Linked DNA regions of Oreochromis niloticus. The protein of the gene in region 1 interacts with the protein of each later gene in a pairwise test. Links are inferred from orthologs where the notes say so. Each region holds a gene or a part of one and is shown on either strand. Other genes may lie near its edges. The genes, in order: dazap2, epn1a, tollip and transducin-like enhancer protein 1.

What was found.
Region 2: the proteins of dazap2 (region 1) and epn1a interact in binary tests that used the Homo sapiens proteins (3 or more experiments, as listed by UniProt). The two-hybrid records come from large-scale screens. The link is inferred for Oreochromis niloticus from reciprocal best matches to the Homo sapiens genes DAZAP2 and EPN1.
Region 3: the proteins of dazap2 (region 1) and tollip interact in binary tests that used the Homo sapiens proteins (3 or more experiments, as listed by UniProt). The two-hybrid records come from large-scale screens. The link is inferred for Oreochromis niloticus from reciprocal best matches to the Homo sapiens genes DAZAP2 and TOLLIP.
Region 4: the proteins of dazap2 (region 1) and transducin-like enhancer protein 1 interact in binary tests that used the Homo sapiens proteins (3 or more experiments, as listed by UniProt). The link is inferred for Oreochromis niloticus from reciprocal best matches to the Homo sapiens genes DAZAP2 and TLE1.

The regions. Positions count from the first base shown.
Region 1 is NC_031984.2:9,350,742-9,358,756, reverse strand, and holds the start of dazap2 (DAZ-associated protein 2), read right to left. Parts: upstream 3,258-8,015; 5' UTR 3,100-3,257; coding exon 3,087-3,099; intron 1,510-3,086; coding exon 1,391-1,509; intron 1,290-1,390; coding exon 1,041-1,289; intron 935-1,040; coding exon 806-934; 3' UTR 1-805. Other genes in the region: pou6f1 (POU domain, class 6, transcription factor 1), read left to right, coding at 6,065-6,205, 7,138-7,330, 7,491-7,627. UniProt on the Homo sapiens protein: In unstressed cells, promotes SIAH1-mediated polyubiquitination and degradation of the serine/threonine-protein kinase HIPK2, probably by acting as a loading factor that potentiates complex formation between HIPK2 and ubiquitin ligase SIAH1.
Region 2 is NC_031976.2:22,692,471-22,700,211, forward strand, and holds the start of epn1a (epsin-1), read right to left. Parts: upstream 3,046-7,741; 5' UTR 2,938-3,045; intron 2,927-2,937; exon of another isoform or gene 2,717-2,926; intron 2,512-2,716; coding exon of another isoform or gene 2,434-2,511; exon of another isoform or gene 1,996-2,433; intron 1,990-1,995; 5' UTR 1,944-1,989; intron 1-1,943. Other genes in the region: putative serine/threonine-protein kinase SBK3, read left to right, coding at 2,434-2,511. UniProt on the Homo sapiens protein: Binds to membranes enriched in phosphatidylinositol 4,5-bisphosphate (PtdIns(4,5)P2). Modifies membrane curvature and facilitates the formation of clathrin-coated invaginations. Regulates receptor-mediated endocytosis.
Region 3 is NC_031965.2:3,875,373-3,882,632, reverse strand, and holds the start of tollip (toll-interacting protein), read left to right. Parts: upstream 1-4,219; 5' UTR 4,220-4,397; coding exon 4,398-4,430; intron 4,431-7,065; coding exon 7,066-7,215; intron 7,216-7,260. UniProt on the Homo sapiens protein: Component of the signaling pathway of IL-1 and Toll-like receptors. Inhibits cell activation by microbial products. Recruits IRAK1 to the IL-1 receptor complex. Inhibits IRAK1 phosphorylation and kinase activity.
Region 4 is NC_031977.2:21,197,837-21,205,731, forward strand, and holds the start of transducin-like enhancer protein 1, read right to left. Parts: upstream 3,244-7,895; 5' UTR 2,400-3,243; coding exon 2,376-2,399; intron 2,041-2,375; coding exon 1,940-2,040; intron 1,248-1,939; coding exon 1,184-1,247; intron 528-1,183; coding exon 483-527; intron 1-482. UniProt on the Homo sapiens protein: Transcriptional corepressor that binds to a number of transcription factors. Inhibits NF-kappa-B-regulated gene expression. Inhibits the transcriptional activation mediated by FOXA2, and by CTNNB1 and TCF family members in Wnt signaling.

The DNA.
Region 1 (8,015 bases):
GTAAACCACTTTCATATTGCAGTAAATCTTTTGATTTTTTATTCTTTTTGCTTTAATTTACATGTGATTTAAATAGAACAATCTCTCAGAAAGTTCACTGTGCAACAAATTTTCCGTGGTATTTTGGATACTGTGCAAAAGACAAGACATTTCTAGCTAAAAGCATCCAGGATGCTGACTTTTTTTTCTTTCTTTTTTTTTTTTTAATAGTTGAGATGTAATTTCTCATAATCATACTGGTATTTACATGGAACTACTAGACACCTATTAATTGAACTACACTAAAAGTTTCAAAAAAAGACAAGTGGAGGTTTTTTTTCTTTTTTACTGCAACTTTGTAACTGCGTTTCACTTTCACCATAAAGCAGCTAAACTATATTTATGCGGATCTGATATTTCAATAATTTCATTAAAGTATTTTTACAGGAGTACAAGAACATCTCAGTGTAATTTGTGACCATTCAATCAAAGAAGAGAAGATCTTGTTGACAAATAAAGATGCCTGAAAGAGGTCAGATCTGGAATGACCAAAGAGGTTAGACCCAATGAAGAACTATGGAATGGATTCTGTAACATTACAATTTTCACTTTTCCTCTTCAGGCAATGGAGTTTATCATTTCATCTCTAGGTCAGAAGTGGAGTACTGTACCTTTCACAAGGGCTCTAAAATATTACATTCCATTAGGTGATATCAGTATTGTGGCATGGCCAAGCAGCCTGAAGAGGGAGGCATATGGGATGGGGGAAGAACTGGGGCATCATCTGGGATGGGGACATGGTTTAGGCATGAAGAAGGAGCTGCTGTTACCAGATGGTATAACCTCCACTGGATCCACCCAGGAAGAAGTTATTCTTGCGCTGTGTCATTACAACATTGGCACCTTGCATGGCAGCCAGCTGAGCGGCATTAGGGGGGTGTCCAGGAGGTGGGGGCTAGCAAAGGAAAGAAACAAGCACAAACACAGTTAAAGAGTTCCTCATTTAATTGTGCATCTCATCTAAGGTGGATATGCCTTCTTGGCATGGCATGGACACTCACTGGGATGGAAACACTGCTGCCGGCTGTGAAGCGAGCACCAGCATCATAGCCGCTCTCCACCATCACAGTTGAACCAGGCGGGTAGACGGCTCCCATCGGATAATAAGCCATGGGGACATTCTGGCCCACTGGCCCAACTGACATATGTGGCTGCATGTGCATATACACCTGAGCACCAGGATAGGGAGAGGACATCTGAGGCACCTGACCAGGCACCTGAGGTGGAAGCACATATCTGGGCTGGTAGATCTGGAGACACAGAGAACGGAAAACAGATTTTTCTTTTGTTTATAACTGTAAGTGCGAGTATTAACTCTGCTCATCATTTGACTTAAATACGGACTGGTTACCTCAGAATATGCAGGTGGTGTATCTGTGTAAGGTGGTGCCTGAGGAGACATTTGCATAGCAGGAGGGTATACAGGTGCAGTGCTCTGCTGAGGGTACACAGCCTGCTGTGGATATGAACCTGCAATAAAAGATTTTAAATTAAAGGAAATAATTAAGAAAGAACAAAACTCTTAGGCACCAAACATTCCTCTGTCATGCCTAGCGGTATTAATACATTTTGTGCTGTAATAAAAATGTCATTTTGTTTAAATGTGGACAATAGAGGAATGCAACACACTCAATGTTGCTTATGGGGTCAATGTCCATTGTCCAGTGAACTTGAAGATGGCTTCTGAGAGCCTATTAGTAAGATGTAAATTTCCTCAAATATTTTTTTCCCAATAGTTACATATTCATAATCACAGAAAACCACAAAAAACAAAACAAAACCCCCACAAACTGTTTCTTCGGGAGCAGATTATAACAACTGACAGTACACCGGAGAAAAATGAATATATAAAAAAAATAAGATTCAGCGTTTCTTTCCTGACTCAAAACAGGTGACTACACACAAAGATGTGGTTTGCAAGTAAAATTTGTTTTATTATTACGATTACAAAAAAAAGGAAAAAAAATAAACCCATTAAAAAAGAAAATATTTCCCAGTCCTTCTGATTTAACCTTGGTCGAATATTTGTGTGTGTGTGTGTGTGTGTGTGTGTGTGGTGGGGGCACTACAAGTGACCAATTAGTAAAACAATAGAGAATTAATTAATTCTGATATGCAAAATAATATTTAAATGTAAGAACTGCACAAATTCTCCCGTTTTAACTTAATAAATGTGGCGACTGGATTGGTTTTTTTTGTTTGTTTCATATTTACTGCTCTAAACCGAAAGTGTAACTAAGGAAATAATAGGCAAATTAAAAATACTGAATGTACGTCTGTTGTGAAACTCTAGGCCAATACAAACGCAGACACGGAAAATAAAAACCTGACTGACTGGAATTTATTTATTTATTTAGCTTTGATCGTTGTTGTTGTTATTTTTTTTAACTTTTCGGGACAGAGAAAAAAAGAAATCCTCCAATCCCCCGATATCGTTCTCCTCTTAAATTACACAATTATATATTATTTCCTCGATACAGATGGCCGATACATATGTTTAGTCAACTACAATCATAATCATCAAAAAGCTAAAGAGTTAAAATGAGCAGATACAGCGAAACTGGGGACAAAAGAAATGAGTGTGTTCAAATAAAATAGCCAAATAATATGTGAGGATATAATACGTAAATTGACAACAAAAGAAAACAAATATTACTAAAATGAGTCACACAGATTATATTTGTATGATGGGTCGTACAAAAGAGAAGGAAAGAGTCACGTCAGCTGTGCCTTTAAAATGTGCCAGTCTACAGAGATATTAGCTGCCTGGAAAACATGTGACCTGCCCACTAATGGTATAAGAATATAGAGTGACAGTAAATGTAGGATTTCACTGTAAACAGCTTCACTACTAACAATAAAGCCGTCTTGGTTCAGAGTGGGAGCCACACTGTTACCCAGGAAGCGTCGGGTTATTGTTATGTACGTGGCTAAACGTGAAGTCCGCTTCGGAAAGCCATAACGGCAGCTCTTCGTCTCTAGTTAATCACGTCAGCGTCGTATAGCGAACAGCTGACTAATTACCTAAACGAGGTCTGGAGAAATACCTTTGTTGTTCATTGTCGTGTTATGATCCAGAGACTGAGGAATATCAGGTTAAACGGAGCTCTGCGTATCTTCTCACGGCCTTAGTGCAGGTCACGGCTTCACACAATCATCCACTTCCTTGTTTTTCAGCTTCTTGTTGTTGTGGAAGTGGTGACGTCACCCGTTCTCTATCTATCTGCGGTTGCACGCACGGTTTTACGTGCACGCCCGCGCCCCCTACTGGTAGAAATGGAGCAGAGGTTAGCTGCCAGCTGGAAGGAAAAAAGGATTGTCTTGGTTTTAAGACAGAGGGCGTCAAATTTACTTTTAATAACGCCCACGCTGATAAAGTTGGGCTCACATCAAGGGTCATGCATACCTAGTTGCTTCTTCTTCTTTTTCATCTTCGGGCTACTCCATGTACGAGCTGGACACCACCTTATCTGCCCCCATCTCACCATGTCCCTGCCATCCTCCTCTGTTACAGCAAACCTCTGCATGTCCTGCTTCACTACATCTATGACTCTCCGCTGTGGTCTTCCTATTTTCCTCCTGCTTGGCAGCTTACAAACCACCCACTCCACCCTACCTGTACTCTTTTCTTCACCTCTGCAGTGCACTGCATTGTTTTGGATGGTTGACTCGAGGTATTTAAACACATGAACCATTTCCCCTGATGGTTCATGTGTAATTGATGTAATTCTACCCCGACCTTGAACCCATCTGTCACTCTTGCCATACAATCAATCCTACCATAAAATTATCCTGGATAATGCTGGTGCATGTCCCATACAGTAATATCACACACAATTCGGTCCACATGAAGGCTTAAAAAATCATCAGAATTTCATGCTATTTACCTTGTTTTTATATTGTTTAATCAATCACAACAGTAACAAAAATCAAAAGATCTTTGGGCAGTTCACACATACCACACGTAAACTGCCTTCTAATAAGAAAATATATATGCAGGTTAACCTACATTTATTGCTGGGCACAATTTGTAAAGGGCCCTGGACCTTGGGTTTGACATATGTACCTTAGGGCCAGTAAAATATAACAGAAATATACAATATTATAACGCCATCAATACTATTTTCTTGCTTGTCCTTAATATGCTCTTGCACGTCCTATATAGCATCCTCATATACAATTTGGTCCTGATAAAGACATCAACAAATCAACAAAAATTAATAAATCAGTTATGTTATGGCTACACAAGAATAGCTCTCTTGTGTAGAGTGTTTACTAAAACTTGCTTACTAATTAACTCTTATCAGTTATATCCTGTTTTACTTTTATATTTAGTTGTCTTTTATGTGTTGTTTTAAGTTTTATTTCCTCCCCTGTCTAGTGATCTTGATTATCTGCACCTGTAGCTTGTTTTCCCCAGGTGTCTCCACTCTGTCCCAATTAGCCTTCTGAGTACGTGTGTATGTATACAATTAATCTCAGTCAGTAAAACCCCCGAAAATCATTGGGATGGCAAACCAAGACGATAAAAAAATATTAATTTTTGGCATTTGTTTTTCCTGATGGATTACCCAAAAAAATCACAGTATTAAAATGGTTAGTTTTGTGTGAGTCAACTAATTTATTCATCAACTAAATGATGACCTATGATCTCGGAACTACACATTCATTCCTTATGTATCAAATTCAGAATTAACACAGGATTATTCAAAATAGCACGACTGTCTACATCATGATCAAAGGTTATATATTATCTTCCCATTTAAAAAAATATATATAATAGAATATATAGAGCAACCACAAAAAAAACATATCTACGTCATTTTAAGAAGAAAGTAAACAAGTCTCCATAATTATTTCTGCTGCATTAAATCATTTAATTCTCGTTCAAATAAACGCAAAAACTGTGCGAATATCGTGATATTACAGACAAACAGCGGTGTTGGGAAATTGAAACTATCGGCACAGTGTTTCATGACAGCGTCTCCAGTGCTCGTCTTTGTGTGCGCTACTTCCCCTTTAAGAGAACCATGGCACCTCTCAAGTCGAGGCAGACATTTTTCAATGCAAGATTTTTTCTTGCATAAATTATGTTCATGACGTAGTGCAAAAGGCCAATTTTGTAGCAATTTTGTCCGACTTTACAGCTCAAATAGGATTCTGTGAGACACCTCAAGGATTTTTGATTATCTGAACTGTTGCAGAAAGGGCATCGTCATTAAATATTAAGAGACAGGAGATCCTAACATTGCAAGCCTCCTTATCAATGCAAATACCTCTTTTGTGTGCAGTCACAGCGCCTGTCTGGGAGCTGAGATGAATTTTTAATTATGTGTGACTGAAACAAACTGTGACAAGGACCTTTTTAAGAGCCGGGGATTACAGGAAATAAGCTGCATATACGCGGTAAGTTGAATATAATAACCGGACCGTATTCTGGCTTGCTCTTCGCGCATAGCAGCGAAATGGCGAGAGGAAATGAGTTTTGGTTAATATGCAATGTTCGTAATTAGCATAATTTATATATTTATGATAAAGAGAGGGAAATACATAATATTCGGTCTCTTGGCACGGATCGAGATGATTTCCGTCGCCTGTGCTCCGTGCTTGCTGCTTGTCCTTAAAAGTGGCCGACGCGGCGAGACTTTTATTGGCCAGGATGGGGGTGGGGAGCCCATCAACACCCGCTGAAGTTTTTGACAGATCCCCATATCTAACGGGGCATTGCAGCAGGAAACGCGCCGTCTCGAGTGTTTTTGCGATCCGTGGTGGACGCGTAACCACTTAACGTCCACGACCAGCGTGTTTGATCACGTTTTCTGCAGCTTAAGTGCAAAACAGTATGGCCTGTTTACAGGCCCCTTCCAAATTGTCTACTCGTGCAATGACTATAATAGCAATGAATTGAAAAGAAAGGGAAAAAAACCTGTCCTCTGCATTTGGTTCTGTTTAAGCTGGGTTTGTCATTAAAGTGCAGAGACTGTGGGCTTATACGGAAAACTTGATACATATTTTAATTTCTAAAATGCTTCCACATTTTTTAAATCACTTTTTTTCATTTTTGTTTACCCAGAATGCCAGGAAGACAGTGATTGTGGTGGTGCAGCAAGCCATGAACTCCCAGGATCTGCCTGCCAAAGATGCCCCACTTACTGTCAATGAGCAGGTAACACTCATGTGTTTGTTAGGAGCAGTGGACCCCCCCTCCCCAAGCTACTCTTGCAGTGAGCTTAACTAAACATAACTTTGCCTTCGACTTGTTTGCTGCTGTTTGCTCCTGTCACCCTCCATGCGCCAGCGTGCCACTTCATAATGGAATGATTAACTGTCACACAGCAGACCACTGAGATCCCGATGCACTTTTGTGTTTTATAGACTAATAATATCTATGCTTGTGTTGGAAACGGTCTTTGAATTGCCATGCTTAATAATTAATTGTGGTTTTTCTCTCTCTAGTAACATTGTGTCTAGACATAGTCAGCAAACAAAAGCAATGCTCTTCACGGAAGCACAAAGGCGACCTTGAAGAAAGCATTGCTTGAGCTGCTTGTTGGCTGATGCTCTTATCATTGTTTATGTGTACTCATGCTCTTTTCATTTGTGTCTCTTTTTTTTTGTTTGTTTGTTTTTTTTGTTTGGTTCATTTTGTCCTAACATGTGCTCGGCTTCTCTGTTCTCCTTAGCCATTCACTGTCTGACTGCAGAAGTCTTTTTTCAGCCATTTAAATCCTGCACTTTGAAATTCCCTGCCAAAGACAACCAGGTATGCATCCTCCTCTCTCTTCCTGCATTGTCTCTCTGCACCTTGTCCTCCAGCCCAGGTTGTCTTGCTGCCCCTCCGCTAGGTCTGTCATTATTGCATACCATGAGTCATCAGCTAAGTTCTTCCAGAGGGAATTGACAAGGTGGAGAAATACTGAAATTACAGAAAATGTTTTACACCCCTCTGGTGCTAGGTCAGATGAGAATTATCTCCTGTTGTTTCATAAAATAATTGCACATAACTAGTTTATTACATTTTTAATACAAACTCAAACAAAAGCAGAAGCCTTCTTTGCATTTGAGTCCTCTTAGATTTAAATCCTGATCGCTGTGCAGGTCATTGTGATGTCTGGCCATGAAACCATTCGAGTGCTAGAAGTAGAAGTCGATGCGTCTTCAGCCTCTTCAGCAGCTGATGGGAAGGGCGAATGCAAAACTGATGAGGGAGTGGCTGAAGCTGGAGAGCAACCTGATGCCAGCAGCACCCAGGACAGCCCCACAGTGCCCCAGAGCACAGGGGGTGGTGTAGGTAAATCATTGTCATCCTTGATAATGCTGGATAGCAGAGAACTCACTTCTCATATATCCAGATTTGTAGTGAATTCTTGATAACATCTGTGTGATTTAAAAAAAACCCAAAAAACAACTTAAAATGTCATTAATAACCAACTCTGGCTGTGCTCCTGCAGTGCTGGGTGAGCAGCAGGTGGTGTCTGTGGAGCCTCCAGCTCCTATGGTCCAAACTCTGACCCCTGCTGTTCCCATCAGCGTGTCTCTGCCCCAGCACCAGGCTGCCATGCCCATCACCGTGCAAGGCTGTCCACAGGTCTGACTTTTTGAGATGCACACACACTGCACCTCATATTCATATTTAACCATCAGAGAAACAAAGTAGTTTTGCTGTCTGATTTTAAAGGTTGGTAGAAAGAGCTTAGAGTGGGTGGGAAAGCCATTTGGATTTTTCTCATTTTCCATATTATTCTTGTAGAAAAGTAATGCACCAGAGGGCCAAGTGTCAGTGTTATTACATTAAAAAAAATCATTGTAGGTGATTTAGTGAGGTTATATACCGATGCCATTGTGCACTGTGTAAGTAAAAAAGATGAGCAAAGTTTAATCCAAGTTGTTGAACACATAGCCTGAGGCTATTAGCACAACATTTTCAGCAATTTCAGCAGTAAAAAGTAAAACCCCTAACATGATTTTTTTTTAAA
Region 2 (7,741 bases), on another chromosome or scaffold:
CTTTCCGATTCTCCAGATTCAAGCAGATCCTTCTTCATACTGAACCAATAAAGTAAACAAACTGACTTCTACAAACAGCATGCTGGTTACAAACTGGAGATTTATTAGTTAAAGAACAAAAGAAAAATAAGATTTCAGCCCTGACTGCTTGTTACTTATTAAAATAAGTTGTAACTTGCAGTAATAAATTAACCTGTTGGCAACGATTAAACCAGTGGTTCCCAAAAAGTGTGGCTGGATTAAAAAAAACGATTGATTGAGATAGATATATATATGTATATATATATATATATATATATATATATATATATATATATATATATAGATAGATAGATAGATAGATAGATAGATATATATATATATATATATATACACACACACACACACATATACATATTACTGTAACTGCATAATAAGTAACCAATGAAATTCAGATGTACTACATTAGTTGACATGAAATGACCTGATTGACAGTGAGAAGGATCCAATTTGTGCAGTAGTAAAACTGATCACTTTCTTGTGTAAAGAAAACCACACACAACCACTTTAAGATCGAGAACTGTCAGGAGGAAATAAGCCACAAAAATACGCTTTTTTTATGGCTTCAGCTGGACTGGGATGTTAATAGGCTTTTATTTTCTGTAAGGTTTTAACAAATGTGAACGCTGTGCCACACAAGCAAGACAAACCTGGAAACCTGAGAGAAACTTAGTCTATCGTAAAGAACTAAATGTGAATCATAGTCAGTTTGTAGGACTTTGTACAAGTGTCTGATAAGGGGATCCAGGCAAGTTGCATGTTTGCGGAGTTTACTGGAGACCAAAAAAAAATTGTAGGTGTCACACTTAAAAGTGCTTTCATCTGACACAACAGCTAAAATAGTCATTCACGCCATTTTAGCTGAGATAAAGGCTAGTTTCTGCAGATATAAACAGTGGTTTAAAGTTTGAAAACTGCTGGGTCATTCCATCACAAAACAAAGTGGGCCTTCTGCTCGAACATCTCAGATATCCCTAAAAATTATATGGTCCAAAGTTTGAATTTACATTAATATATGAAATACTTCTCTAGCTTACACTTTGAAATTTGAGGCCATGTTTGAGTCCGCACACTTCAGTAAATATTTAAGATAAATAACAGAAATTTACTATACGAAATGATGAATCAGGATCTGTAATTTCGGACAGATACAGAGTAACTAAAATATGGAGAAAAATGAAAGCTATCTTGTAAATTCCCATGTTTGTGAAAAAGAAAGAAAATTACATTTCAAAAGACGACTTAATAATTTCTGAGTGATATATAATTTTATTTTAAAATACCACAAAATGAAACGTGCAGAATATTGTTTTGACATGAAATTCTTAGTTAATTATTAATCCAATTTCCAGTTTCAACTGAGAAAATTGTGTTAAATACATGCACGTTCTTAATTTTCAAGACCTACTGCACTAGATGACTCGGTTTAAGTTTAAAATATACTAATAATATTAAAAATGCAGTGAAAATGTACGAAAAAGAGAGGCACATCAGACAAGGTTGAGCAGAAAATGTTCTTAAAAATTGGATGATTTAGGATGGTTTGGCTCTAGTGTCACTTTCAAAAATGCTTTCATCTGGCAACACAGCTAAAACAGTTGTTCACACCATGTCAGCTGTGTGAAAACCACTGGATTACACATTTTAAATGGCACAAAATGAAAGCCTTTAGTTCGGATACTATACGAAAAACATAACCGTTCCAAACATCATTAAGTGTTTTAAATCAGCCTGACAGCTAATAAGGGGTTCAGATTTGTAGGTCAGATAAACATGAGAGCATGTTGCATAACTGAACAGAAAGCAACCATTGCAAAAGTCAGTTCAGAGACTCCTGAAGCCCAGTGCCAAAGTTCAGACACGCCAGCTAATCCGTGATAACCATGATAAGTGACATAACATACCTTTTATATATCTCCTCTTGTCAGATATCGTCAGTCTGAAGCCACACTGAGGGGAAAAAATCCCCCACAAAGTTTCAGTAAGTATCTCAGAAGCACTACAGTACACAGTTTATCAGCCTTAAGCACTAAAAATACACAGATGTCTCACTTAGATCACATACAGAACAAGCTATAAACGCTGTAGCGCTTATTTACTCATAAGTCACGTCACAGGAAGCTGCTCTATATGAAAGATGGATTGTATGGTTGAAGCCAACTACAAAAGGCGAAAAGCAGGCATAAGTGTTAACTGATTTATTCTTCCTATCACTCATATCCAGCTAACACTGCACAGCCTCCCGAAGATGTGACCCCCACCCAGATAACGTTAACGACCCTGCCAGACAGATGCTGAGCTCCCTGTCACACCTATTAAGATAGCAGGCTAACTAACTGATATGTTAGCAACCAAACTGTCATCTAACGTATTTCTAGCTGCTAGCAAACGCTAATGTCCGCTGTAAAATGCAACACACAGGTCTTAAAACGAACATTTTTATGTACCAAAGGCTTAATTTATCAACTAAAGGTGAGCACCAAACTCTCTTATTCTCAGCTAAGCTAATCGAAACTGTTTGCGATCACTTTGCTATCACAAAGTCTGGGTGTAGTACAAACAGGTGCACGGAGGGATTTAGTTAGGTATAAAAAAAAAAGCGGGGGAACTAAACAGAATGAGTCGTTCCTGTCCTAGCGCGGAATTATCCCAAACTCGATAAAAAGGTGAAGGTTACCTGCCACTTTGACTGATAAAAGAAATCACTTTGCTGCTGTTGCTGCTCGGACACATTAGCCAGCTAGCCTGTTAGCTGTTGCTAGTTCGCTACATGACTGACAGACCGTACGAGCTCCAGCTTCACGTCCTGCTTTGGGACACTACTGAATACACGCATTCAAGAGTCAAAAAAGGCTGACAACCCGGCACAATAAATATCTAAAATAAATGTCTACTGACCCTGCTGTAGCTTGAATGTACGAGGAGATGGCCGAATTTCCGCTTCCGTTCTCGCCTACAGGAAAGACCGCACCCCCTGTAGCTTTGTTTTCCTGTGATGGTAGTAGGAGACTCATGAATTATTAATTGAGACGAAAAGAAAGTCTCAAATAAAGAGATATCGAAATGATTGTTTATTACCGTTTAAATTCATTCACTGATAGACAGGGGGTATGTTTTTAAAAGTTCTGAGATAAATTTCCTTTTTAATATTCATTTTGTGTCAAAGGGAAGAACTCACATCCTCTTTTTGTCATTATTTTTGTTTTCGCACGTTTGTTCCACGTTCTCCAGACTTCTCAGAGATTTAAAAAAAAAGACTTTGGGTGGCTAATAGACAAGAAAACGGTTTGAAAATATAGAAGGTGTCTTTCTGGGTTCATTTCTAAAAATCCTAAATGAGGAACTGGTTTCACTAATGGCAATAAAATGGAGAACTTGCCCCTGATTTTATATTTTTAAACTGTGATCATAGCTGGACTGGCCATCGGGCATACCGGGCATTTGCCCAGTGGGCTGATGGTGATTTTTCGTTTTTATGGGCCAATGGTTTTTTATGTTTGTTTTTTTTTTCTTTTTTTTGTCTTTTGTTTTTTTGTAACGGTATAAACAATGAAAGGTGGTGTGACCAATGTGTAAAATGTAAAAATAACTTAGTTGTTTGGTGGTGGCTATGGCGGAGCTTCCATAGAAGCCAGCAGGTAAATGAGGGAAAGGGGAGGCAGGAGGAGGAGAGACCCGAGGTGGCCGCCGGTCCGAGTGTCAGGTGAACTGAACTTCAGGTAATAATGATCTGCAGTCTATCTGGGTCAGATATAAACCAAGTTTAGGTATAGTTTATTTTCATTGTGCTGACTTTTTACAGAGTTTCTATACAGCTGGGTGGGTGCTATGATGTTACTGATAGTGAACTTTATTTTATTCATACGGTTAGTTAGTAGAGTTGCCAACCGTCCTGTAAAAAACAGAATCGTCTGGTATTCAGAGAAAATATTACACGTGTCGTAATAAGCTGAAAAGGAACAGTTTGTCCCGGACTTCAGCTAGAATGAAAAAAAGACACAAAGCTGCAGTTATTCTGTGTCTTTATGCTGTCAGCTGTTTCTTCTTCTCTCATTCTCTCCCCTCCCTCTCCTGTTGCTACTTCAATCATGAAACTGATCAATGATCAGCTGATCGGCTTTTCTGACCAAGTCCCGTCTGTTTGTTTATGTCCCACTTTGCGCCAGAAAGAGGAAACCGGCGGATGTTGCGCTAAACAACAGCAGCAGGTTTAAGCTTGATCAGCTGTTGTTAGAATTTATTTAATATTAATTTCTAGTATCAGCTGAGGTTTGCGGGAGCCACAGCCGTAAAAGCTGCTGGTTATGATATCGGTTTGGATATTCTGGTGAGAGGGAAACATGAAGCTGAAACCAGGTAATGTCCTTACTGAATCATCAGAGCTGAACAGGTGATGGAGAAACAGGTTTACCTTTTAGGTGACATGAATGAGTTGAAGGGAAGTTATGAACAAATAACACCAGGATCCTTTTCTAAGTAGCTGACAGCTGGTAACTGTGCAGGGGCGGGTCTAGCAGGTTTTGCCAGGGGGCCAGGTAGGGCATTAACAGGGAAAGGGGGGCACAAAGAAATACTTTTGTTTCTTATTCTCATTTAAAATGTCTCGCTTTTAATAAATAATTATCTGAATCTTACCACCAAAGTTTTTATCTGATGTAAAATGTACAGAAATCATACATATACCAACAAGACAGTGCACATCACTGTCACAACAGCGTTTGTTTTCATTCAAAGGCTTTATGGCTTTTCCTATAATACCTGGTGGGCCAGTCTCTAGTCAAAATGCCCGGGCCGATTTTTTGTCCCAGTTCAGCCCTGATTGTGATAGAAAGTTTAATATTAGACGAAGAATACCCAAGGAAACACAAAATGCAGTTTTTAAATGATGATTTCATTTATTAGTGGAATCCAAACCTAGCTGGCGCCTCCTGAGTAAAGGAACTGCCCCCTTATTAATTAATGTGAAGCACATTTTTTTAGAAAGCACAGTTCAGTTTCTTTAGCTGTCTCCGGGACTGATTATTGCCAACCTGTTGATCCGAGAAATCACTTAAATAGTTCCTGTCTGACAAAGTGAAATACGCTAAAATTACTCCAAGAGCACATTAACGACTCATTCAAGATGTCATAAAAGAAGTAAAACTAACACAGCATTTCATAAAAGAACATCATACCAGCATTCAAACATGTTAGTTTTAATGTGATGGTTTGGGGCTGCTTTGCTGCTTCAGGACCTGGACTACGTGCCATAATTGATGGATGGAACCATGAATTCTACTCTCTACCAGAAAATCCTGAAAGAGAACATCCGGCCATCAATTTATACCCTGAAACTTAAAGTGAAATTGGGTTATGCAGCAGGACAAGGATCCAAAACACACCAGCAAACCTAACTCTGAAACAAGAAAATGAAGGTTTTAGAGGGGCCTAGACAGAATCCAGATTTAAATCACATCGAGATGCTTTGACCTGACCATAAAAAGCTTGTTCATGCTTGAAACCGCTCCACTGTGTGTGAATTAAAACAATTCTGAAAAGATAAATTACAGGGATGTGAAAGACTTATTACCAGTTATGACTGATTGCAGTTCTTGCCAATGCTGGCCCAACCCTTAGCTTTAGGGGGCAATTATTTTTTTCACATGGGGCAGATAGATTTGCATAGCCTTTTTTTCTCTTAATAAATGAAACCATCATTTAAAAAATGCATTTTCTATTTGTTCAGGGTATCGTTATCTAATATTAAAATTTGTTTGACAATTTGAAACATGTAAGTACACTGTAAAGTCTAATATTCTGCTTAATTAAAAATACTAAGTAGGCTGAACTCAGAGCTTGTTAGAACTCAGTTTAAGTTACCAGTAAGTTTTGTTAAAAATATAAACATTTAGTATTGCTTACTCAGAAAAATCAAGTTATTTTTAGTACTGTGTACCCACAATGAATAAGTTGGCCTAACTTAGTTATCTTAAGTATGCTTTACTACTTTTTTTTTTTTTTTGCATAATTTTTTTAAGTTCTGGAAACTAATTCGATTTTATGGTGTATTAAAAAAATATGCAGAAAAAAAATCAGGAAAGGAACAAATTATTTATTTATTTATTTTACATTGCATCATTTAAGTAAAATTACTAAGACTCTGTTTTGATGTTGTTTAACTGAATACAAGCCTTCTTGTCAGAGTGTGAAGACCCATACGCACGCTGATGATACGGAAAACATTGAGACATATTTGAGCAGGAAGTATTTCACTTCTTAATGAATGAAAACTGAAAGTCACACCATAGGTTTGGTGGTAAATCTGTGGTAAATCTTAAGATTTAACACGCAGCAACAATTTCTCCCCAAAAATGCAATGACCCTCACCGTCCACAGAGAGGCATCCTTGAACTATCTGGTGTGACACCAGACCAGCTTTGCCTTCCCTGGGACCATGAAAAATACCCCGCAAGCCTCCTGGATCAGAACAACAGCTGGCATGCATGTGTGTTACAAGTTCCCCTTTAATCCTTCATCTCTTTATCCCTTTATCTTTCCCTTCTCTCTGGGGAGGAGGGGATTGAAGAAAACATTGCAGCGTGACTCAAGCAAACTTGTAATGTTACTCTGCTTTGGAAACACTAATCTTATAAGGACAAGCAAAATGCCGGTGATTATAACAAGTATAAATTATTCTGACAGGTGTCGTTCCACTATTATGTCACGCTGAAACTTTATTTAGTATTTCCTCTGTGCCCACTCCCCCAAGCCGTGTCAGGAGAGAATCGTTACTTTGTTTTGAAAGAAAGAACTGGACTCAGCCTGAGGAGGGGCTTTTGAAGAGGAGGAATCAAACAAACTAACACCGAAGCTCTCACGAGATGCTCTTTTGAAAGCCTGTGCTGTCACTTTCTGGATGTAAATAACATTCATCACTGTGGATTCTTGTCTGACAAATGAACTCTCAGATCAGTTTCTGTTCATTTTATGTCTAGTTATTTATGTATTACTAAAGACACATTTTTTTCTGAGTAGGTATTTGTTTGTAGGCTAAACCCTGGAACATTGTGTACGTATCAAGTCCTTTTGTCACAATCACTTGAATTAATAATTTATCATCATGCTGAAATTGCCTTTTGTATTAGTCTGTATAAGTTTGTTTTGTTGGCCTCTTTTGAGCTCCCGGCTATTCAGTAAATGCAGTTGCTTCCATTTATTTATGTATTTATTTATTCATTCCTGTTTTGCCAATGAGTGAGTTGATGGAAAATCAGTTTCTTTGAAAACTGAACCTGTAATACTTTGCTTATCGGCTGCTCAGTACCTAACTATTACTTTGCCCCAAGACAAACTGACTGAAAGATTCTGCATCAACTCAAGACTAACTGAAGCAATCCATTTTTTAGGCACTTTCATTTTATTGTGAACTAGAGCGAGGTTAGAGACAGAGAAAGAGAGACACAACCATTCACACTCACATTGACATCTATGGCCAATTTAGAATCATCAGTTAACTTGGCATGCTTGCTAACATGTCTTTGGACTGTGGGAGAAACGTACAGAGGGAGAACATGCAAACTCCAGATAAAACAACCTGTCTCTGTTAGCTGGAGGCTCGAGGCTCAAACACAGGACCTTCTTGTTGTGAGAAGGTCGTGTTACTGAGATAAACCCATCAAATATTGCTCCATTTGTCTCATAAGTGGAACGCCTAGTAATATTT
Region 3 (7,260 bases), on another chromosome or scaffold:
AGCGGAGTGTTGAATGCTGTCTTCCACTCATCCCCCTGACGCATGTGTACCAAGTGATACGCATTATGAAGGTCCAACTTAGTGAAAACAACCGCTTCCTGTAATGGAAGAAAGCAGTGGAAGGGGATATTTATTCCTCACAGTGATGGTATTAAGTCCACGATAGTCAACACAAGGTCTGAGAGATCCGTCCTTTTTCCCCACAAAAAAACTCCCCGCAGCCACGGGTGAAGAGGATGGCCGAATCAAGCCTGCCTCCAGGGACTCCGTAATATAGGCTTCCATGGCAGCCCTCTCTGGCCCAGAGAGGTTGTACAGCCGACTAGTAGGCAGCGGAGCTCCAGGCAACAATTCAATAGAACAGTCATACGGCCAGTGAGGAGGCAAAGATGTTTGCTGAAAACTGACCTCAGATCATGATAGACCTCTGGCACAGACTACAGGTTCAAATCCTCTTGTGTCGATTCGGGAGCACTGGCCGCAGAAGGAGGTAAAGCAGACCTCAGACAGTGTGACAAACAGTGGCTACTCCAACTCTCTATAAGACGGGTGGCCCAGTTGATATGGCGATTGTGGCACTTGAACCGAGGATAACCAAAGACTACGGGGGAATCAGGGGACGCGAAAACAAAAAAATGGAGAAATTCGCGATGATTGCCCAAGAGAATTAATGAGACAGGTTCCGTTTCATGGGTGACCGAGGGCAAGGGCTGACCATTGAGGGCAACAACCGAAACAGGGACCTCTAGAAGCCGTGTTTTAATACTGAGGAGACGTACCAGACCTCTGTCAATCAAATTCTGTTCAGCCCGGGAGTCTAAAAGAGCTTGAGTAAAGTAGGTCTTAGAGTTATTAGACAGCGGAGAGCTGCATGCGGGGAACCTGAGACCGAGAAAAGGTGCCACCCACCAGTACCCCCGCAGTTACTGGTGGGCCCCGCCTTTTAACCAAAGCTGGCAGGTAGATACAAAGTGGTCTGACTGACCACAATCCAAACATAGCCGCACCTTAAAACGTCTCTGACGCTCCTCAGGGGTAAGTCTCGTGCGACCCAGCTGCATCGGTTCCTCAGTATTATTCCCAGGAGGTGACCACGCTTGGACGTGAGCGGGAAGGAGTGAAGGTTGAGTGACCGTGCGCATCGAGGCACCTTCCCCCGAGGTTGCGCGACCCTTGCCTCCCAGTTCTTTCTCCCTCTCTCTCTCATGCAGATGGTTATTGATGTGAATGGCTAGCTTCACCAATTCCTCAAAACTCTCCGGTTGGTCTTGGGTAGCGAGCTCGTCCTTCAAACGTTCGCTTAACCCGCAGACGAACGCCCCGCACAGCTTGGCATCCCCCCACCCGGTCTCAGCCGCCTTAACGCGGAAGTTGATGGAACACTCCACTATGGAGGAGTCGGAGCGCCGACAGCTGTCGTGCGGTTTCGTCCGCGCGCAAAGGGTGGTGAAACACGGACTTAAAATCTTGGACAAATTGAACATATGTGAGGGACTCAAGATGGAGGATGGAGAGCCAGATATGATTCGGCCCAACTTAAAGCTTGATCATGAAGGGCGCCGATCAAATATGAAATTTTAGAAGCGTCGTCAGCAAATGCGTGGGGAGAACGCTGAAAAAGCAAAGACACTTGAATCAAAAATGGACTCTATGGCAGAACACACAGAAACGCAGGGAATGCAGAAAGTGCTCTTTATTTACGTCTGGATTATTTACACAGGGTGGGAGATTGTGTACAGTGATAAATAAACGGAGGGAAACCAGGGAAGGGGGCTGACGCACACTCGGAGGGAAAGGGGTAATCGGTGCACGCAGGGTGGATCTACGAGAAAAAGGGGAAGATACCAAACAATCAGTAAAAAGCGGCAATAAACATGGGGAGAGTTCGAGAGCACACTTGTCACACTGGCAGTACAGGCTCGGGCGAGAATCTCCGGGATGTGAAGGTAAAGATGAGATTGATCTCTGTAGTGATCCCGGAAATACAGCTTCACCAGCAGCTGACAGGCAAGCGGGTGATGGATCCGGCTAAGGATACAGGACAACAGGTAAGCAGACAAAATCCAAAACATGGGTTGGCCGTTAGTGCACACCTCGGAGATTAACAAACACGTTACCACTCAGGGAGGCGACAATACTCTGACACCAGACGTCTGTCGCGCTGCTCCTAAATAACGCTCCATCAAATGACGTCTGATGTACCGCCAGTGTGCCAGTATCCCGTGACACACCGCCCCGCCTACCTGTGCTGAAAAAGGAAGCAAACTCATGACACCACACCAGAGAAACCCCACCAACTCCTAATAGGCAGCACCTAACCAACTACAAGCCTGGCAAAACCATGATGACTGAGGGCAACGTGGCACTTGCGGAGGAGCTGGACCACTTCTTTGCACACTTTGAGGTGAAGGGATCAGAGGCAGCCGTAGCTCAAACATCGAATGGCAGCAGCAGCCCAAGCTTCATGGTGCAGGAATATGAGGTGAGGTGTACACTGAGGGCTGTGAAAGCCAGGATGGCCACCAGTCCAGATGGGGTGACCAGGAAGGTCCTAAAAGAATGTGCAGACCAGCTGGCTGGGGTCTTCACTAAGATCTTCAACGCTTCACTGTAGCAGTCCTGCATCCCGCCATGCCTAAAGTCGGCCACACTTATCCTACTATTTAAACAGACCAACATTAGCAGCCTCAATAACTACCGACCAATTGCTCTAACACCTGTTATAATGAAGTGTTTTGAGAGACTGGTCCGACGCCATATCGTGTCTTGCCTGTCACCCACACGCGACCCACTCCAGTTCGCATACAGAAGTGAAGATGCCATTGTTACAATGCTCCACACCACAATCTTCCACCTGGAACAACAGGGGCATTAAGCCAGGTCGCTCTTTGCTGACTTTAGCTCTGCATTTAATACGATACTCCCTGACAGACTAATAGTAAAACCGCTGAATATCGGACTTCCTTTTATTACCTGCTGCTGGATCAAAGACTTTCTCTCGGACCGTGTAGAGAGATATAGTAGGGCCTCATCTTTCCTCAGCCCTCACCCTTAACACCGGCTCTCCACAAGGCTGTGTACTAAGTCCCCTACTGTACACTGTGTACACACATCACTACTTAGTACCCACCCACACAATGCAGTCATTAAGTTCGCGGATGATACCACCGTGGTCGGCTCATCTCTGGGGGCGACGAGACAACATACAGAGCTGAGGTTCAGAGGCTGCTGGATTGGTGTGCAGAGCAGACAACAACTTGGACCTCAACACCACCAAGACAAAAGAGCTGGTAGTTGACTTCAGAAGGAGGAAGTCTGTGCTACAGCCTATAAGCATCAACGGGGAGTGCATGGAAAGGGTTTGAAGCTCCTGGGTGTGAACATAGACACAGACCTCCAATGGAGCTCAAACACCTCAGTGGTTGTAAAGACGGCCCAAAAGCATCTCCATTTTCTGGAATGTGCTGACATACTGCATCTGTGTATGGTTCTCCAGCTGCACACCGTGGCACATGGGTCATTAATATGGCCCCAAAAAATCATTGGACATCCTCTTTCCTCCCTGAAGGACCTATATAGCACTCGTTGTCTCAAGACAGCACGCAGCATCCTACAGGATTGCACCTGGGTGTTTAGGTTTATGCTGCCGTCTGGAAGGAGATTCAGAGTGCTGAGGTTGCAGACAAACAGACTCAAGAACAGCTTTTACAACAGAACAAAAGCTCTAATCAATGCTAACAGCTGACCTGATTGGCTACCTGTCTGGACTTTTTTAGGGGGGCAATAACAACAACAACAACAACAACAATAATAACAAAGTGCAATAAACATTCACTCTTTCTTTTATTCATTTATCAAGTCATTCCTTTACCTTTCTTTTTTGCTCATACATTTCTTCCACTTAAAAAAATACCCTTTAAGTTACTGTGTTGTGTTGTGCTTTGTGGTGTTTAGTTGTCTGTATTGCTGACGTAGGACAGTTTCCAATTTTATTGTACTATTGTACTGGGTATGACTGTGTAATGACAATAAAGAGTTATCTCTTATCTTATCTTGAAGGGTAAAGTGTAGTCATGGTCAGCAAGACTAGAACATCGCAATATAATGCAGTGCATTCCATTCATTTGTGGATCGGGTGTAGCTCTTCACCTGAGCTAGTAACTGAAAAATCTTGAACGTGGTTTGGCTAGAGTGGATTCTATTGCCCACTCCAACGCAGTAGGTGGCGGTAAAGCACTGTAATACTGGTTGTCACATGACATAAATAAAAAATCAAGCAGGAAGAGGAGGTCTGTCGAACGGTAAACATCCGTCATAGTGGACAGTGGTTTTGTTTTTCAACGGCATACGCTTGTGATTTAAGAAAACAGAGAAAATCTCGATAAAGAGGAGACGACATGGCAACTACCATCAGCACCCAGAGGGGACAGGTAGTGGCCTCGGCGTTTGTCTAGTTTGTTGGCACTGGCACGCACACACCTAAACGTAACTGTGGATTGTAGTTCTGGCAGTTCATTAAATGACCAAAAAAAGAGTTGCACAGAGACCCACAGCACTGATACTAGCTTAGCATTCAATACCCGGACAACGTCGGCGAAGGTAATTAACTGATAAGCGTTAGCTTAGGTAGCTAATAGCAACTCAAGGATTAAGCTGCCAGGATAGCAACACTGACGTGTTCCGTGTTACACAACAAACGATAAAAAAAACAGTTGCACTCCCGTGCTTCAAATCTGGGAAGCTTAATTTTCAGTTTCTATGTTGCTCCTTAGAGGACTCCGGATGTTTTGTTATTACAAAGAGTCAGAAAACATTAAGCCTTTGATCTGTGGTGAGCTGACATTTTCTAATGATTACTCATAAACCGACTAATTACAAGTTAATGAAGTTCTGAGACTTGACAAGCAAAACGGTGTTCACGTCCAACATTTTCCACGTGCTAGAATTACGTTAAAATGTTAGAAGAAAGGCTAGATAAACATATTAAAGGCTTGGGTTTACATCTTTTAAACTCACAAAATCCTAAAAACTAACAGAAAAAGTTTTCTCGTGGCTTCTTTAGTTCAATATACCCTTGAACATAGAAATGTGTGGAAGACATCCTGCTCTTAGCGACAATAAGTTGGCATCATTTTCTGTGTTTATTCAGGTAGATGAAGACAAATTGATTTAGCCCACTATGTCTTGCAGTTTTTTAATGCTACATTCCTTGCTCCTTCTCTCTTGTACACTTTCACTTGTGGAAGACAGAAAGTGAGAGATATAGTCGGCTATAATGACTGTGGGAGAAGACTTATTTTTGAACACTGAAAGAAATATGCTAGCAGCATTTCCACCCACTGAGTGAATTCATACTGGATTGGTCAGAACAGTAAAAATATCTGTCATTATATGGATATAAATTGTTGGACAGTTTTCTCTCTGTAAACCACCACATTGGATTTTAAATCGGACAATATGTGATCAAAATGCTTTCCTTTAGTTTTCATTTTAGAGTTTTTACAAAATATTTTGGAATTAATTGTTTAGACAGGTTAAATGGGGCCTGTTGCATTGCTATTACATGACAAATGAAGCAGACATAATATCTTAAGTTGATTCAGAGTGAAGAATTTTGTATTCTGTAACTTTTCACTGTAATTTTGAATATGAAACCCAAGAGATGTCAGTGTACGCAGGGAAGGCTATTATGATGCAGAAAAAACAAACTAAAGCATGTGGTAATGTTTGTGACATAACCACATGCTGCAGAAAATTTGATTTCAGACAGTCATTGATTAAAAGGATTTTCAAGTATTAAAAACCTACACAGACATTTTAATCATATATTGGTCCATTTAAAATCCACTATAGTGGTCTACATGACTACTGGGTCTCTCTACAACAAGTGTAGCTAACTAAAATTCAACAGCGCCACCAAGATGTTTTCCAAATGAGCTATACATATAAATCAACACCTCTCAAACAATTTCAACAAAAATTGAAAAAAAAAACCAAACCCCAAAACAAACCAAAGAAAAAATCCTTTGAATTTATTACAGAACTGTTTCATCATGACTCACTTAATTGACTGTATGTTCTACCTGCAGGTTAGAATTCAAATTCGGATGCTGATATGTAAAACACGATTAAGTCCATCAACCCTCATTTGAATATAGGTGTCTATAAATGTACGTTAACCAAAGTCCTGCTTGTAGAAGGAACTCTTGCCACTCTTGCAGCAACCTAGAAATACCTCTGGGGACTTTTTTGGGTAGTACTTTTGAAGCATTATCTAAATGAACTTACATTTATGTCGTCACTAGTACATCACCAGTCAAATAAGATAAAAACTGCTTACAATATTTATTGACTTTGTCCCAAAATAAGGTATAGTATATATTTTTTACATTCTAACCAATTTAAAATTCTTCTTCTGAAATACAAAGACCTAAATGAATATGCACCATAAAGACCTCGTAATACTATATTATCTCAATAGAGCACTTTCCTCTCAGAGTGCATTCATATTTGTGGTTCCTAGAGATTTCAAAAGTAGAACTGGGGCAGAGCTTCTAGCTTACTGGCCCCTCTCCTAGGGAACCAGCTCTGAGTTTGTATTCAGGGTTGGATCACCCTGCTAGAGGACTTCATTTGTTTTCCATTTGTTCTCCTCTTTACCTTCATCTTAGTTTCAATAAGCACTTCATTTATCCCATATTTAAATTATATGGCAATACTACATGCTGCATGTCAGTAACTTTTGGTTTCTCTCTTCCATCTCAAAAAATACGTACAATGTTAAATAATTTTGTATGAATAATACAATCTTAATACAACACCAAGCAATCTTCTCTTCCTCCAACCCCTTTTATGCTGGTGAAAAATAAATAACTAAGTGGCAGTTTTTCTGGGTAAAATTTAAACCAGTTTTTTGCTGTCAGGAGCCAACTTCTTGAAATTTAGCAAACATGATCATCAGTTGAAATTAATATCTCGACGTAATCTCATGGAGTATGTCATGTTTAACTGTCTCTCTGAGTGACTACGCAGAGTAACTCTTAATCCCTGTGTCTTTGTATTCAGGTGTATATTGGGGAGCTTCCACAGGATTTTCTGCGAATCACTCCCACCCAGCAGCAGCAGCAGGTCCAGCTGGATGCCCAGGCAGCCAGGCAGCTGCAGTATGGAGGCTCCATAAGCACTGTAGGAAGACTTAGCATTACAGTGGTCCAGGTGAACACAGCTTCACTATTAGAAATACAACTGGATGACACTACA
Region 4 (7,895 bases), on another chromosome or scaffold:
ATGTGCATGTACACTGATTGGGTAATTGCCCTTGTTATTGTGCGCTTCATATTTGAGTCTGCCTCGTTACTGTGTTAAGCTCCCAGCTTCAAAAAGGGAGAGCTCCACTGTATCTCCTCCGTCTGCCTCACCGTGATCGATTCCTCTGCCCTCACCAGCCCTGCCCCTCTAATGTAATAAAGCAGGCCGCTCCCCTAGACAGCACCAATCAATCTACAGAGCCATTCATCCTGCCTCTGGGCTCAGCCGGCCGGCCCTAACTGGGGAAATGGAGACAGAGCCCCATCGATCACAAATAAACACACATATACACGTATACAGTAAAAGAGAGAGAGAGACACACACACACACACACACACACAAATGCACTTGTGCACACACAAGGACACGTCAACAGGCCCACACTCCACATACATCAAAATCCATCCATGAGAGGAAGAGAGATAAACAAGAGGACCGACAGAGTGGACGAGCAGCCATACCTGTTTGTGCATTTCAATGTTGAGGCCATACGACATCTCATAGTACTGGGGGGGGCAAAGAGTGAGAAGGTTAGAAGGGTGAAACAAATCCTAAACCCCTGAAAGAAAAAGCTTGAATAACTTAAACAATAATTAGCTACACTGTAGATGTCTTTCAAGATATTTGCAGATCCTTTTAAATGAAGTGTTCCACAAAGAGGTCAAACTACTTTGAAAGTCAAAACATGCAAGTCAAATGCTTTTTAACTTGAACATGAGGCAATGCAACATCCTCACAAACAATCTGAACTGAACAGCATTCCTGTCCATGTTATGTTTGTTTCTGCGCTAGATGAAAAGCTTTTGACACACAGCCACATTGCTTTGTGTAAAAGAGGTAAAACTTCAGTGATTAAAAGTGAAACGTAAGCTCTCGTGTATATTTTATTTTCTGAAACAGTGAAACACATTTTAAATCAACATGAAAAGTCGTAACAGCACAGCATCTTTGCACAGTAAAAGCAGGTGACACTTGCACGTTGCTCTTCCTCTTCCCTTCATTTAGTATTAACAATACATATATTTTGTATTGCGAGTCTTCAGATAGGAATTTGTATTCTGCTTTATAAGATATGGACAACTTTCTCCTCTAGGAAACTTTAGAACTCCTGCATGTGATGTGTGACCCTGCAGGGCAAATGAATTGAGTATAGGGAGCTCACCATGACGTAGTGCCTCTGCATCTCTGTTTTTTCACTGGCCAGCTTCTCACACTCCAGTTTGAGACTTAAAAAAAACAACAAGAAAAACAATACACCATTTACTTTGAGTGGAACTCAACATTTCAAGTTAAACTAATCAGTTTTCATTCTTTCTCTCGCCCCTCTTGCTTGATGATTTAAACACCCTCTAAAACAGTCCATGGAGATGTTTCAAAAGAATTGGTGCAAAAATGGAAAACGCGATGACTGTTCCCGTCAAATAATGGGTATATGTTTATGACAATCCTCTTCTTTGAATATGTAAATCAGAAACATCCAGGTCTAGCTTTCACCTGTTGTGAATGACCCACCCTGACAACATCTAGAGCAAAGTTAAAAAAAAACAAAAAGAAAAAAAGAAACACTCTGCTCACATGCAGTACTTGAGCAAGCCTTTTCCCTACACAGCTACACACACAGGGGAAAATAAGGCGTGATTTATGAAACCCTAAGCCCACACGCCACCCCTCTGGCTCTCACCCATCAAGAAGATGTAGACCTACCGCAGTGCAAGCGCTAACACTGATGCCTGCTTGCATATGTGTGCACTTTTGTATGTGTACGTGAACCTAATCCAGGTTTATGGGTTAGTCTGAAGCCAGGGTTGAGGTTTTGTTCATTATGGTTATGAGGATGACTGTGGTTAGGGTGAAGTTTAGTGTTGGGAGGGCAGATGACAATAGAGGAAAACGTGAATTGAGTGTTTGTGTTATCCACCTGTGGTACTGTGCCTGAAGAAACTGAAACTCCTCCTTGATGCGGTCCAGTGACTCTGGGATGGTGAACTTGAAGGGCTGGCCTGGAGCCTGGTGGGGCGTCTGGCGCGTGCGCGCGCGTACACACACACACACACACACACACACACAGATTACTAACATCACACTGGCACATTTTGTTGTCTACATTATGAATCTGATACTTTTAAGCACAAATACAATATCAACAACTTCTAAATATTAGTCGTTATTTAAAAAACACACACAAAAAGCCAAAACGCAATATAATCAATCCCACTGTAGAGCCCAATTAGTTAGAAGACTGAGCTTAATATAAACACATAGGCAGCCCGGAGGGGCGGGTCATATAACGAGGTAATGTTACCCGGTTGAGCCCGGTGAAGTGAGCGTCTGTTAATGCACAAAGAGCGTCTTACCGGGTGTCGCCCCTGGGGAAACATTGTTATCTCCGGGAGGATGAAACCGTTTCCTTCTTAAAACCCCGTCAAAGTGGGATCAAATGGGGGTGAAAAGTAAGGTTGTGGGAAGCTCCCAATCACGGAGAGGAATCCATCCGCCGTTGTTATTAGGACCAACGATCGTTAATTAAAAAAGAAAAAAAAAAGGCACCGACCGCTTGTCCGCTTCGTCTGGGTTCACCGACCGTTTAACGTGAATTTCCGCTTCTTCCCGTCTCTCGGTCGTCGTCTGTCCTCCGCTCCACAGGCAGCGCGACCGTAAATCAACCGGAAAAACACGGGAAACGGCTCATTAGTTGAAAGCAGCTGAAGGGGGAGGGAAGAGAAGGACAGGAGAGCCAGGTGAGAAAAAAAAATAGGGCTGGAGCCACCTTCGCCACTCCGACGTTTGTTTTGTGTGCGAACTGATGTATTCCGAGTACGGAGAGCCGACCAAACAAACAAACAAGATAAAATCAACCCCGTAGATCCTCAACAGACAGCCGCAAACTGCCGGCGCTCATTCAGAGCATCAGAAACAAATCCACACAAGTTAATTGCAGAGAAGAGTTCCCACTTGACTCGCCGCGGTCACTGGCTGGCGGTTGAACGGTCAACAAATACAGAAATATTTACTTCCTCGATCGGTGTGGAAGCAAGCCTTGCCTCCAAAATAGATTTCTCGTTTTTAAGACAAAAAATAAAAAAACGAGGAAATATGTCGTTAATTTTGATAACAACAACTCCCACAGCGGCGGGAACTGTTCACGGTCCTGCTCTGCTTTACCTCAATGGCAACTTTCTCACGCGGTTTCACGCTCACCCAGCTAACCGAAACTATAGGCCAGCCCACAAAACGCCTCCGCACCAATCACAGTCTCCGCTCCACGTGGGGAAAATGATGTGGGTTATGAAACTGACCAATAGCCTCTCTGCAAAGTTCCCTGATTCTGTTGACCTCGTTGAGCTACGCAGATTTTGACCAATCAGCGCGTCGCAAGGAGCTGCCACTTCGGAAGCGCGCAGGGCGGGCAGTGCGGTGGGGAAAAAGGCAAGTCTCAGCTGTCAATCAAAGTAACGTGGGTTCACCAGGAGCAGAGCTGTAAATGTGCGCGTCCACACACATACACACACGCACACATTAACAGGCAAACACACAAACAGAAAAACAGAAATATTGTTTTTCTTAGCCGCCGTGAACCTTCCCAGCAAGTGTCATGACAAATAACCCCAAATCTCTCTCTTCCTCTGCTTTCTCTCCCCCTCTATGTAATAATTTTCAGCGTGGGAATTGATTTAGTAGGACTTGAACGCTCTTTATGTTCTGCTTCTCCTAAAAAAATCTAATTATGCTGCTCATCTGTTGCAGTTTATTGCTATTTTCATACAGTCAGTCTACAGAGATAGCTCAGTTTGCCTCATCATGTTTCCTTCGCTGGCCAAGGACAAATCCAAAACCCTTACTTGTACTGTGATGTCTTTATATCTCTTCAAAAACGTAGCTCGGCATTGTGCAAATGTGATTTTGACCCAAAGAAAGCAGAAAAATGCCAGGGGAATTCCTGATTCGTTGTAATAAAGCTCACAGAATGGTATTTTATTATACCAGCAGTCAAAGCCAGATTGAAGCAGCTGTAAATAAAGACACGCTAACAGGTAACAAGCAGGTAACAAGAGTAGTTAGAGTTGCTGCTAAAGACATGAATACAAAAACATAAATGAGAAAGGGGCTTTTATTGAAAATGTGTGAAGAAATATAACTTGCCACCTTCATCAAAAATGAAGACCATATCTCTTGCACATAAAAGTTTCAGCAATGTTTTTAAAATAAAGATGTCACCATTTATTGCTCTCCTAGCAAACAAGCACAGGTTATAGCTCCATTGCCAATAAAGGCTATTGGTAAATTGCACTCATTTTGGGGTGTTTTTGTGCCAGCTACCTGATGAAATACTGCATGGCTGAAGTCACCACGTTGTGACTGGCGAGGTGTGTTTGAAGCTGAGTCATAAAGGAGGCTCGTGGGATCTTCTCTACTCCTCTTATCCCATCGAAGTACTGCTCACTTCACACTGGATGGCCCCTCAGCCACACACTGGCCCGTGATTGGCTTAGAGACCTCAACCCTCTGACCCACGTGACCTCTGACCTCTACGGCGGCTGATCCAGTCCGTATGAGAGGCTCCTGACTGTGACCAACAGTGACCTGTTTTTTGCAGGTCTCACACATGCACAGACACGCAGGTGCTGTGGAGTGGGTGGTACGGTTACAAAGGTTTGCATGTGCAGCTACACATTTGTGCGGGTGCTTAAATGCATTTTGTCTTTTATAAGTGTTGGTTCACATTCGTGTTAACCTTTGCTGCCTGTGACCCACACCCTCACCCCACCCCGGGCCCCTCTAAAATGAACAACCAGGACTGCCTTGAAATGTGAGTTAGCCACACTGTTTGGCATTCACAGGCAAATTTTGTGCTGCATCAACCTAATGGTTGGACCTTTTCATTTAGACTGTTTATATTAATTTATTCATTTTGGCTGTATGCGACTGGCTTCTGGAGCTACAGTTAATCACAGTTACTGCCTATGAATATATGGTAAATTTCCACTAAAGAAAATCACCCTGAGTCTGTGTCATTTCTAAAATTTACAGCATGTTTTTAGAATCTTGGCTACTTATCTGTTTGCTGCATAATGTTTTGTTTTTTATTGTTTTCCCTTCTTAAACCTCTCTACGGTGCACTGAATTATGCACATTGCTACACTTTTATGGCCCCAGTTCCCCCATCTTCTCTTCTGTTCTTCCCAAATGCTTCAAGGTTTAATGTAATCTTTTCTTTTTTTTTGCCATTAGTGCAGATTCAGTTGTTCATGATCAAGTGCAGTGTTGGCCTCATTGAGTATACCTGAAGCGTAATCTAAAATTTAGATCAATAACTTCTCCATACTGTGTAATAAGTTCCTACAAAAAAGAGGTACAATCCCAGTTCTGCAAAGTTGTGATGTGCTGAACAATAAAAAAAAAAAATCTCATAAATTCATACTTTATTTACAATAGACCAGAGAGAACACATCAAATCTTTTAAGAAAAATATTTGCACATTTTGAATTTGGTGGCAGCAACATGTCTCAAAAGTTGGAATACTGCCACATTTACACCTGTGTAGTATCCCCTCTTCTTTACCACTCTGTAAATGTCTGGGAACTGTGGAGACCAGCGGTTGGCCCCCTTTAGAGCAATGTCGCCCCATTCTTGTCTGATACGGCATTCTAGCTGCTCAGCTGTCCTGGGTCTTCCTTATCATATTTTCCATTTCATGATCTGCCATTTTTTTTTAGTTGTTGGAAGGAGTGGACCGCAAACAAACCAGTTCAGCATCTGGACTCTTCTACTACAAAGTCATGCTGTTGTAAAATAAATGGAAGATGCGGTTTAGTATTGTCTTGCTGACATATGCAAGGCCTTCCAAGAAAAAAATGTCATCTTATAGGACACGTTGCTCTAAAACTTCTATGTACCTTTCAGCATTGATGCCTTTCCAGATGTGGAAGCTGCAAGTTCCATTCCCTATTATACCACCATAGCGTCAGAGACTTTTGAACTGAGTGCTGAGAACAAACCAGATGGTCCCTGTCCTCTTAAGCCCAGAGGATGCAGTGTCCATGTTTTCCAAAAAGAATTTCAAATTTCGATTCATCTGATCACAAAACAGTTTTCCGCTCTTCCTCATAGTCTTCCTCATTTAATCACTCTTCAGTGATTTGCATGACAGAATCATCCCTGTTTTTAACACAGTGGTTCCCAAGGGCCCAAAGATCACAGGCGTCCAACTTTTACATCCATCCCAACTTATTGTGAGGTGAGGCATGTTGCGGCCATCAAATTAAAATTTAGCTATTATTTCTCATGAAATAGTAAAAATCTAAATATTTGATGTTTTTTATGTTCTTTTGTGAATAAATATGGTTCAGTGCAAATCATTGCAATCTATTTTGATTTACTCTTTACAGAGCATCCTAACCTTTTCAAAATTGGGCTTGTAATCATTAACATTTTTAGTGCTCCATTAGTTCTACAAACAGCAAAACAAGAAGAAGCACAAGGCAACATGCTCCTTTTTTCCTTACCTTAACTCACCTCAATGCAAAGATCCTTACAGCCCATCAAATAATAGTTAAAGGTCACACATCAGTCAAAACTAAATCTTTTTAATACACAACACAACATCCATAGTTAAACTATTCATTATATTAAGAAAAAGTAGCAGATCCATGTTTTCTGTTTGAAGTCTTTTCTGCACTACAGTGTTTTATTTAACACTATATTTTCAATATGAGGCAATACATGTAGAGTATCCTCAAATAAACAGGATGATTAGCATTTTATTATTACTTTATGAGAGATTTGCATTTGAGGTTATAGACACAAGACACCACAAAGTGTTGAGGAGTTATGAAAGTGATGAATGAGACAAATTGTTTCTACCTAATGTTAACCACAGGTTACTGGGAAAAAAGGTAAAAACACAGAAAACCACATGTCCTGTATAATAGAACGCCCTGCATTTTATGTCAATATGACATTTAAATGTGAATTAAAATGTGTTTTAGAATAGATGGAATAGAATAGTCCTTTTTTGCTGTTGTACGTATACAATTAAAATTTTAGACTTGTAAAAATAAAGTGATGTTTTTGAGTCACAAATGCTGAATTTTTTCTTAAAAGAAAGACTGGCGGTTTTTAAATACAGTTCAGTTTAATTTAAATTATATGGCACCAACTCGCAAGAACAGTTTCCTCAAGGTGCTTTAATGTAGCCTAACAAAATAAAACCTCCATATCGTGCACTTGGCGAAAGTGGGAAGGAAGAACTCCCTTTTAACAGGAAGATGCATCCAGAATTATCCAGAGAGGGGCAGCTATGTGCTGTGATTGATTACGGGATGGAGGGAAATACAAGAAAAATGGAAAGCACAGGGAGACAAGGACACATCACAAATTATGTTAGAAGTAAAACACAGAAAATGAAAAGAGTAGTGTGGAGAGGAAACGCTCAGTGCAGCAGGGGAAGTCCCCCAGCACACTATTTGGCTCGATTCGACTCAAATCTACTCTACCCGGTTTCCATCATTTTCCATTACAACTGAGTATCACCTCAATGTGGGTGGAGTCATTATAGAAAGACTGTCAGAAAGTCCCTTCACATCATTTGTATACAACACAAACACACTACAACGAGGCAATGGTATACCTGCTGCTCGGTCTATGGCTTTTTGTCAGACTCAGGGTAAAACAAGAGCGCCCAAGAAGGCTGAAGTTGGCGAGACAAAACACTCCAAAACACTTGGTTTGTGTGTTGCCATTTCCCTCAGTTTCAAAAATCGCAGGTTTTTTTATTGTGAAGGAGTTGCTCTCATGACTGTCTGTTAACGTCACATTTTTGGTTCAACTCACCTTGCTTGGGAACTCATAAGTAATAAAACCCGTTACGGGTAGAG